Kluyveromyces lactis: one gene and its partners. The protein of the gene in region 2 interacts with the protein of the main gene of each other region in a pairwise test. Links are inferred from orthologs where the notes say so. Each region holds a gene or a part of one and is shown on either strand. Other genes may lie near its edges.

The links.
Region 1: the proteins of MEC3 (region 2) and ATG16 interact in a two-hybrid assay, tested with the Saccharomyces cerevisiae proteins (2 studies listed by BioGRID). The link is inferred for Kluyveromyces lactis from reciprocal best matches to the Saccharomyces cerevisiae genes MEC3 and ATG16.
Region 3: the proteins of MEC3 (region 2) and SET1 interact in binary tests that used the Saccharomyces cerevisiae proteins (3 or more experiments, as listed by UniProt). The link is inferred for Kluyveromyces lactis from reciprocal best matches to the Saccharomyces cerevisiae genes MEC3 and SET1.

What each region holds. Positions count from the first base shown.
Region 1 is NC_006041.1:145,732-148,030, forward strand, and holds ATG16 (Atg16p), read right to left. Parts: upstream 919-2,299; coding exon 538-918; downstream 1-537. Other genes in the region: guanine nucleotide exchange factor GET3, read left to right, coding at 1-85; CVM1 (Cvm1p), read left to right, coding at 1,224-2,299. UniProt on the Saccharomyces cerevisiae protein: Stabilizes the ATG5-ATG12 conjugate and mediates the formation of the 350 kDa complex, which is necessary for autophagy.
Region 2 is NC_006039.1:440,206-443,192, forward strand, and holds MEC3 (Mec3p), read right to left. Parts: upstream 1,726-2,987; coding exon 565-1,725; downstream 1-564. Other genes in the region: SER1 (O-phospho-L-serine:2-oxoglutarate transaminase), read left to right, coding at 1-558; GTPase GUF1, read left to right, coding at 1,962-2,987. UniProt on the Saccharomyces cerevisiae protein: Component of the checkpoint clamp complex involved in the surveillance mechanism that allows the DNA repair pathways to act to restore the integrity of the DNA prior to DNA synthesis or separation of the replicated chromosomes.
Region 3 is NC_006042.1:2,246,976-2,251,136, reverse strand, and holds the start of SET1 (histone methyltransferase SET1), read right to left. Parts: upstream 2,877-4,161; coding exon 1-2,876. Other genes in the region: ORC6 (origin recognition complex subunit 6), read left to right, coding at 3,221-4,161. UniProt on the Saccharomyces cerevisiae protein: Catalytic component of the COMPASS (Set1C) complex that specifically mono-, di- and trimethylates histone H3 to form H3K4me1/2/3.

The DNA of each region.
Region 1 (2,299 bases), on a different chromosome or scaffold from region 2:
GAAAAAATTCTCCCAATTCTTGAGAAAACCATACGATCCAGTTGCAGACAGCAAAGTGATTTATGAATTGGAACAACAAGACTGAAAGGAAGATAAATATGAATCATTGATACCTAGCATTACACGGCCAATCTATAATTTTTTATTATTTGTACACTAAATAATTGCAGAGCAGATTCTAAATTGAATCATTGCATCGAATTAGCCTCTATAATGTAGCATTAAACATCTACTTTAGTTGCAACATGAAAACATTATTACTTCAGGCTTCGTGATAGTAAACGAAAAGATCCGAAAGCTAAAAAAATTTTGGTAAATTGAAATGCTCCAGGGGAGGTTCGAACTCTCGACCTTCAGATTATGAGACTGACGCTCTTCCGACTGAGCTACTGAAGCAAATTTCTTGGAAAACTGAATTTTTAAAGAGTTTCATGCACTTGGGATTTGATGTACCATTGAGTCGCAGGGAATTAACTTCAAATCACTTATAAAACTCGCAACTCATTTATAACTTGAGGCATATAGAGTATGTCATATCTATTTAAGTCTCGTATTCATGATATCGGCCTCTCTTTGTGCTTTTAGTAACCATCGTTCAATCAAGGTGTCATATTCTGCTTGAATGTGTGTCAACCTTTCCTGTAAAAGATTGTTTTCTATGTTGATGCTGATCAATTCGTCATTCAAACGCTCAGCATCTCGATTTTTTACACTAATAACATCATGTAGTTGCCTTATTTCCTCTTCCTTTTCCGTAAGATGTTCCCTTAGATTCTTTATGCTGTTTTTAAGTCGTAGTTGGTCTTCGTTATCTTCCTCATTATCTCCAGACAGAAGTGAGACCGTTTCGAAAAGATGCGAAAATCTCTTATCAACCAAATCCCTAACTTTCAATTTATCTAGCAACGGCAGTTCCATGTCACAAGCTCACTAAGATCTGCGTGACATGTTACGTTCTTTTAATTCCATCTCAAGCACTTGCATGAAGCTTCACATTTTTCCTATTTATGATTGATTCTCTAAAATCTAAAACAACAAAATAAAGGGAAGCCTTGTAATCACAACAAAACCAAATAAGCGAAGAATAAAAATCCTCCTTCAATAATCGTTTGGCCTTATTTTGACAAGATATTACCATAGTCTATATTAGTTCGAGGTGAACCTCCTTCCACATGATCAACTAGTACTGTACATCAGCACATTAGATTAGTGAACCATCTCGCATGTCCGAACCCATCAATTCAACGGGAGAAGATAATAATCCATTTTGGAGAAGATGGATCCCAGGAACTAATGCTTCAGAAGAAAACAGTCAAGATACTCCTACTAATTCGTCTTCTGAACACCAGGACGAAGGATGGCTGAAAAGGTATATACCAGCTTGGTTCTCCAATCAAGAAAGTTTAGAAATCAGCGACAGTACATCATACCATCAGCTTACCAAAAAACAAATTAAAATATTGGAAAATGAAGCAGAGCAAGGAATACTTAAAGGACATGATACATGTTGCTGGTTTAATGAAACTTTGAATAATAAATTACTCGATTCTGATGGGGTTTTATCCGTTTACAACACTGGCAGCGCGACTTGTCCCTTGCCATTGTCCAAATATCCATTATTACCACAGCGAAAATCTACTATCATAAATGCCAAAAATTCAACTATCATACCAGGTGTTTCTCCAACTGAGTACATGCATGAACTGCCACTTAAAACGAAATTAGCCCATGCCATAAAAAACCATTACAATTTTATCAGTGAGAAACATCTTTACTTAAAACAGCATTCCACTCTTAATTTCAATGAAGACACCATAATAGTCATATCATTACACGGATCTTTGCCCGAAAAGTATGAACGTGTTTCGACCGGAAAGCTTCCAACAGCACTGGAGCTTAACGATCAAATGCTCAAGAAGCTACTAAACTTTGATCCTCATAGAGCGCTCACCTTTTCGTTCGAATGCCCGCTTGATGTCAAACCAACTCCAATGGTTTTGCAAGAAACCATATCACTACTTAAAAATTGGATGCATCTATTCCAGGATGCAACTCGAATATTTGTTATTGGGACCTACCATAGCGTTCCTCTATCAATTCTGTTGACAGACGCAATACTCGATAATTTCACGATTACCAAATTAAAGTCTATTGGGATTCTTGGTTTTGAATCTTGTTTACAAGGATATCAATTTTGGAACCATACAGCTGAAATTACACCCCAGAGTATGGAAAACCCAACCTTCCAGGTGAATAAAGAAAAAGCACTCTTCGAGGGTTCATCCAAGTTACAACAAGA
Region 2 (2,987 bases):
TTGATTATGGCGGGTGCTCAGAAAAACATTGGGTTAGCAGGGTTGACCTTGTACATCATTAAAAAAGACATACTGGATGACATTGCAAAAGTTTCTCCAAAGCAATTGAGGGATGCTTCTCTACCAGTCTCACCAATTGCCACTGATTATCCAACTGTAGTGAAAAATGACTCTGCTTATAACACCATTCCTATCTTCACCTTACATATCATTGACTTAGTTTTACAACGCCTATTGGAACAAGGGGGAATTGAGAGCCAACAAAAAGAAAACGAGGAAAAAGCTAAGATCTTGTATGAAGCTCTAGACAAATTCCCAGAGTTCTACAATCTGCCAGTAGACAAAAAATACAGATCAAAAATGAATGTAGTCTTCACCATTAAGAAGGACGGTTTGGATTCTAAATTTTTGGAAGAAGCTACTAAGCTAAATCTAACTGGGCTCAAGGGTCACAGATCAGTAGGTGGGTTCAGAGCATCTTTGTACAATGCTGTTGAATTGTCTAGTGTTAAGCTGTTAGTCGATTTTGTCACCAAGTTTGCAGAGAACAATCAATGATCGTGATCAGTTTAACGATTTACATTTACTTATGTAATAAATAATTTGACCCTTCTCCTTATTGTTTTCATCTCTGTCAATGCCTCTTTCCAAAGAGCAATGGAAAACACAAGAGTCATCGTGTGATATCACTAGAACGACTTCTTCAAATGATTCATAAAGTTTAGAACAAACTTTCCAATCACGAACCCTTACTATAACCTCGTGACCTTTCAACTTGTCTTGTGATTGCCTAGCAGAAGCGTTTTCTAGCATTGTTGAATGTCGATCAATGGATTTTCCGTGTATACCAGTGTCCAAGACATCACTGTCCTCAATATGCATTTCATTGCATGCTACCGGTGATGGGGATGACTCTGCATTTGTCTCACCGTTGTGTCGAAGCGTATCATCTCTTGGATCAGAGTGTGAATCATCACCTTCCATATCATTGAGCATTGCATCTAACGGGCCTTTCCATGCGATGTTAAGTTTCCAGTCAAATTCATCAACAATTACCTTCAGTGAACCCTTTTCGCCCAATTGTTCGCCATGTATCTTGAGTGTATTGACATTTCCGTATCGTTCTATTCGCTTAAAAAACGCATTAAAACCTGGACCCCATTCACTTACGTGACTCGGAAGTTGTAACATCAAAATCCCCACATAATTAACTGTTGGTTCTACTATCTTCTCGTCTTGAGCATTGTACAGTAATTTGACGCCGACCTTAATATTATGCTGTATCGTCCTTTCATCTCGTGTATCTTGAAATGAAAAGCTTAATCCGCAGAGTGTATTGTCTGTATTGTGAGCAGCTGCAGCTGCTTCACTTTCCTTGTCAACAGTTACCAATCTTACCAATTTGATGGTCAATTGAGTTGCGTTGCATTTATCGAATTTCCGCAGCACGCCGACAATAGTATCACAGGGGCACTCCATGGCGACTCTATTATCTTCTCGAATTGAATTAACTACATATGTGTCAAACACATCGTGTGGGACTGTGCACCAAACTTGACCCTGATCTATGACCGTTCCTGTACTGTTTGGTGTTGATATAATGACCAGCCTAGAAGAGGTAAATCTTAAAATACATGTTTTTCGTAGTTTGGACACCGTTATCAACGTTGTCCTGAACAATGAGTAGTCCTCAGTACCTGCTTGAATACTTAGTTTTAGTTTCATTGCAAAATTCGTCCCGAGGATTAGCTTGCTATCACGTTTTTTTGTTATTCCCTTTGTATGTATGAGTTAAAGTTGAACTTTAGATCTGAACGGCCATAAACATCAAATTTAAACAATTCGTTGCCAACAATGTTTAATGACTGGAAGATCTATAAACATAAATTCTAGACGTTAAACGATAGACGAAAGAGAAAGGCTTATAGAGCTACGAGTTCTAAATTTCAGACCCGATAATTATGTTCAATAGGAGGTTGCTTCGACATGTGAGGTATGCCTTTCAACAAGTTAGAAGTAATCATTCATTACAAGAGAGGATCGATGCCATTCCAATTGAAAGATATCGTAACTTTTCTATAGTGGCTCATGTTGATCATGGTAAATCTACACTCAGTGACAGACTCTTAGAGCTCACTAACGTGATTAAGCCAGGTGGTAAGCAAGTTTTAGATAAGCTTGAGGTGGAAAGAGAGCGAGGGATTACAATCAAAGCACAGACATGCTCCATGTTTTACCAGGATCCTAGAACGAAATTGGACTATCTCTTACATTTAGTGGATACACCGGGCCATGTGGATTTTCGTGCTGAAGTTTCAAGATCGTATGCATCGTGTGGTGGCGCTTTGTTACTCGTTGACGCTTCCCAAGGTGTTCAAGCACAGACAGTCGCAAACTTTTACCTCGCTTATAGTATGGATTTGAAACTTATTCCTGTCATAAACAAGATTGACTTGGACATTGCTGACATTGACCAAGCAGAAGAACAGGTTGAAAATATGTTCGAGCTACCTAAGTCAGATTGTATCAAAGTTAGTGCTAAAACTGGATTGCACGTCGAGCAATTGTTACCCGCTATTGTTGATAGAATACCTCCTCCGACCGGTAAAGTTGAGAAACCATTACGTGCATTATTGGTGGATTCGTGGTATGACTCTTATTTAGGAGTGGTGCTTCTTGTACATATAGTTGATGGTCAAGTGAAAAGAGGAGATAAAATCATCACTGCCGCAAATGGATTGAAGTATGAAGTGAGGGAATGCGGTATAATGTACCCAGATCGTGTCGCTACTAACACACTGAAATCAGGTCAAGTCGGGTATTTGGTACCTGGCATGAAAGAATCTAAGGATGCCAAGATTGGTGATACTTTGATGCATCTCGGTAAAGAATCGATTACTGAAGTGTTACCAGGATTTGAAGAACCAAAACCCATGGTCTTCGTAGGAGCTTTCCCTGCTGATGGGGCCGAATTCAAAGCGTTAGAC
Region 3 (4,161 bases), on a different chromosome or scaffold from region 2:
TAAATGACGATCCTCTTTCGGCCATCGACTTTGATGATTTTTGCCGTACAACTAGGTTCACAACAGTGATTAATAAACCTAGCGATACCACCCCTCTTTGTAGCATCTATAACTGTATTTTCATCAATTCTGAATAAATAACTTGAACCAATTCCAGACTTGATATATCTCTTCTCTCTCATTTCAGCGACCGGTTGTCTAATTGATTCGCCAACATACTCAATAATCATTTCCTTGGCTGCTATAGGTTCCAATGCATATAGGCCCCAATTGTGAATTGCAGATCTTGCAAAAGTGACGGGTTTCTTTCTTTTCGTTAATTGGTTTAATGATAATAGGTCAGATTCAAAGCCAATTGCAGCTCTTTGCGCTTCTATATCTTGCTGGAAACGTCTTTGGAAAACTCTGTTCAAACGTGAGGATGCATTATGGTTATCTTGCTCTAAGTCAGCCTCTTGATTTGTTGATTCTGTTCCATTCAAAGCCATGAAATTCTGTTCTTGATGATTATGAACAGTGTTCAAAGGTTGCGCCAACCTCCGATGATGAAGAAGGTATGAAGATTTCAGTTTATCAGGAATTTTCTTAAAGCCATCAGCAATAAAACTACCAGTCGTTGAAGCTAACGTTGAATCAAATTCTTTTTCATTCAAAGCTATTTGGTTATCCCGAATAATTCCATTTTGTTCAATCTGTTGGTATAACTTCCACATTGAGTACGGCAAAAATGGTGTATAATCAGTAGTAATATCTTTTGATTTTTCTGAGACAATGCCCTTGAGAATAGAGAAATCTTCTTCGTCTTTCAAAGCAAGCTGGAACTTATCGAGAGAAAGCTGCTTGGATTTATTCAAGTCAAAGTCATCATAAGGATATACTGGGGTTGGGAATTCTGATGCAATAGGTTTGTATTTCCCTTCATACTGTAGTAATTCCTTGGACCTTTCATCAGGTAAAGATGCAGCGCTTTCGGGCAGGTCTTCCTCCGGTGTTGTTATCACGGAAGACTGTTTCTTCGACTCATCTGAAATAATATCTTCCGATTCATATCCAGATGACTCCGGAGAGTTTTCACCGTTTGAGCCAACATTGAGTGAATCCACTGTATCTTCTCTGGTAGAAATTTCATCATTTAACAAATGCGACATATGTTCCACCTTAGGTTTCTTTTTACGTTGATGATCAGGAGATTCTTCAGTGTATAAATGACGTTTGCCTAGATCAGCTTTCCTATCTCTTTTCAGCTTTTTTGTTTTAGACGCAGGTCCGTATAGACTGAAAATATCAAATTCTGCGGGTTTGGCCTTTATCGTTGTCTTCTTTTGTGATTCCTCACGCTTCTTCTTCTCATCGTCCAGTTTCTTCTGCCTTTCTACAACTTCCGGGTAGTTAGCAGGATTTAGCGTATCAAATATAATTGGACCTACAAGCCTTCTCAAGATATCACGCTTAATGATATTATGCAAATCTTTGAGAATTTGTTTTGTGGAGGCTTCTAATAGCTCTTCCGTGCTTGAGTACTCTATCTTTCGAGGTTTATTGATATCTCTTTGGTTAGTGATATTTGATTGAAGTCTCCTCTTTGGTTCAATGAAAGTAAATTCTATTTGTATGGGAGAGTGAGTCCTATGCGAATTTATGACCAAGGCACCTGATTCGTACTCTAAACATGCTTTTGCATTTTCCAGATCATGAAAAACAATATATACGCCAGTGTAGTGATCAATAATTTTGGCCCAATTGTACTTACGAAGTTGATATCTGAAATCTGCTGCATTGAACCTATGATAAAACGTAATCTTTGCAGGAACAAACAAAACTGGTCTGTTGTTCACAACTTGAGTTAAATCGTATGGCACTCCTCTTATTACTTGAGGTTTCTGCCCGGATGATTTCTCTGCAATGGCCCGTTTCGCTTTATTCACTTCTGTCACTCTGGCTGCGTTCTGTTTGATTAGTTTGTCCTTTATTGAATTTAACACTGTATTTTGGTTTAAAATGACATTGAACTTGATACCTGATACTGTGTAAGGTGCGTCTTTGAATTTCTCTGATGCCTTATAAGCAGCTTTATATGGAGCATCAGGTTGAGAAACTGGACCAGTGAATTTTATTAGATAGACGTACAATGGCAATGCACTATTTGGATCCATGAACTGTTCAAAATGCGCTATTTCACCAAATGATTTAAAGTAGTTTTTGATTATTGCTTCAGATAATGCGGCTGCTATTGGTTGTTGGTTAGATGCAGAAGGGTATACTATGATTTCTTTTGGAGGTTCAGGACCAATGTAGAAAGAATCATACGGAATTCGCGAGTTGCGTACCAATGCACTTCTAAGCTTTCTATATCTCTTTTTCGCAGAAATGGACCCAGAGACCGCATCCCCATTCATAGGACGTATTCTCGGATCCACCGAAGTTTGTTCAGGCTGCCTGGCCATGAGTATTGGTTTTTGCTTATCCGATGCAATCAACTCCGTTGTTGTCACATATCCATGCTCAGGAATCTTCTCAGATTTCCATTTCTTGAAGCTGGATTCATTTCGTAGTCGTTTACTTACAATGTCGTAATAATGATATTTTGTATTAAACTCATCGCGATCGTATTTCGCACTCACTACTGGACGCGTTGCGAAGGGATTACGAGGAATCTCGCTGATACCACGCGACTGCGACCGTATTGGACGAGATTCGTTCTCATTATTCCTAAGTTGAGACCCAAACCCCTCGCGGGAGTATCTTCGGTTCCCTGATCCATTCCGTTGGAAGCCCTTGTACCTATTCCCATTTTCTTGATATGCATATCGTCCGGTTTGGTACCGATCATTATTCCCATGAAAATGAGAGTACTGTCTATTATAGTACCCACTCATGAGAACTAAAATATACACACACGCTGGAATAGCAACTTATGCTAGATGAAATACTAGAAGTATTGCCAAAACTGAACTTATAGATGGAGAAGCGAATAATGATACTTTTGATTAATATTCAATTTCATTATTTACCATATTTTGTTTCAATATTGGAGAAAATCGAGAAAATCAGAAAAAGATCAAAAAGCTACATAAAGACTGTTTTTAATATTATGTTAAAAATGGTCCATGGAGATGAGATGAGATATATGTCTTTTCCGGGCCAGTGTAATACAACAAGTGAGTAGATGATCCTATTTTAGTCACTTTAGAGTGCTAAGAATCCGTGGAAATAATTTAAGATGTCTACGCAGCAAGTACGAACGTGTGTAACCGATTTATTAGGGGTCAAAAATGATTCTAATGTTGACTGGCAAGACCAACGGTTAAAGAAAGTGGCTTCTACTACAGCAACATTATACAACGTTTCAGTATCGAAAGTGATGCTGAAGAATTCAGAGGAACTTGCTCGGTGCCATATATGTGCACTGATTGCGTTTCAGAAACTAGCTGAGAAGTATGACAATGACCTACCATATTCTCAGGAGAAGATCCCGCTTCCACCAGACCAAGTATCCAAACTTGTGAATATATTTAAGAGAAACATATGGCCTCATTCGCCGCAAAAGGATACCGAAGGACAATTGCTGAAGTTTGATGATACTGCATCACCATCGGTTAGAAAGTCAGCGGTTAAAAATGCAAGATTCACAGGGATAGATCCGAAGTCGTTACAAGAACAGCTATTCCAGACTCCGTCGAAATCAAGAACTAAAAGTGGTATCCAGCCCTTGAAGAATGTTGATCTTTCACCTAGCAAAGGGAGTAGGTCAAGTGTCCGGAGGAAATTAGTGTTTGAAGCTGATACAGAAAATGGCCTTCCGTTGCCCATATTAGCAACCCCGAAGAATAAGACTGATATGATCAATATACCACAAGTGTTTGGATCAGTTGAGGATGATCCTGAATCTCCATTAAGACAGTCACCCTTTCGTGACTCCCCTTCTAAATACACGCCTTCACCAAGAAAGAAAAGAGGTAAGTATAACGAATGGAACATGCTATACAAAAAATACTATAGACCGTCTACCGCTGAACTGGTGACTCTGTGCAATGAATTTGAACTTCCTGAAGAAGTAACAGCTACCATAATTTCCGAATTCAATAACAACGCTACTTACCTAGCGTATCCTACACAGTTGGTTTGTGGTCTGGTACTTCTTTGCTCGTTCGTTGTCTTCAA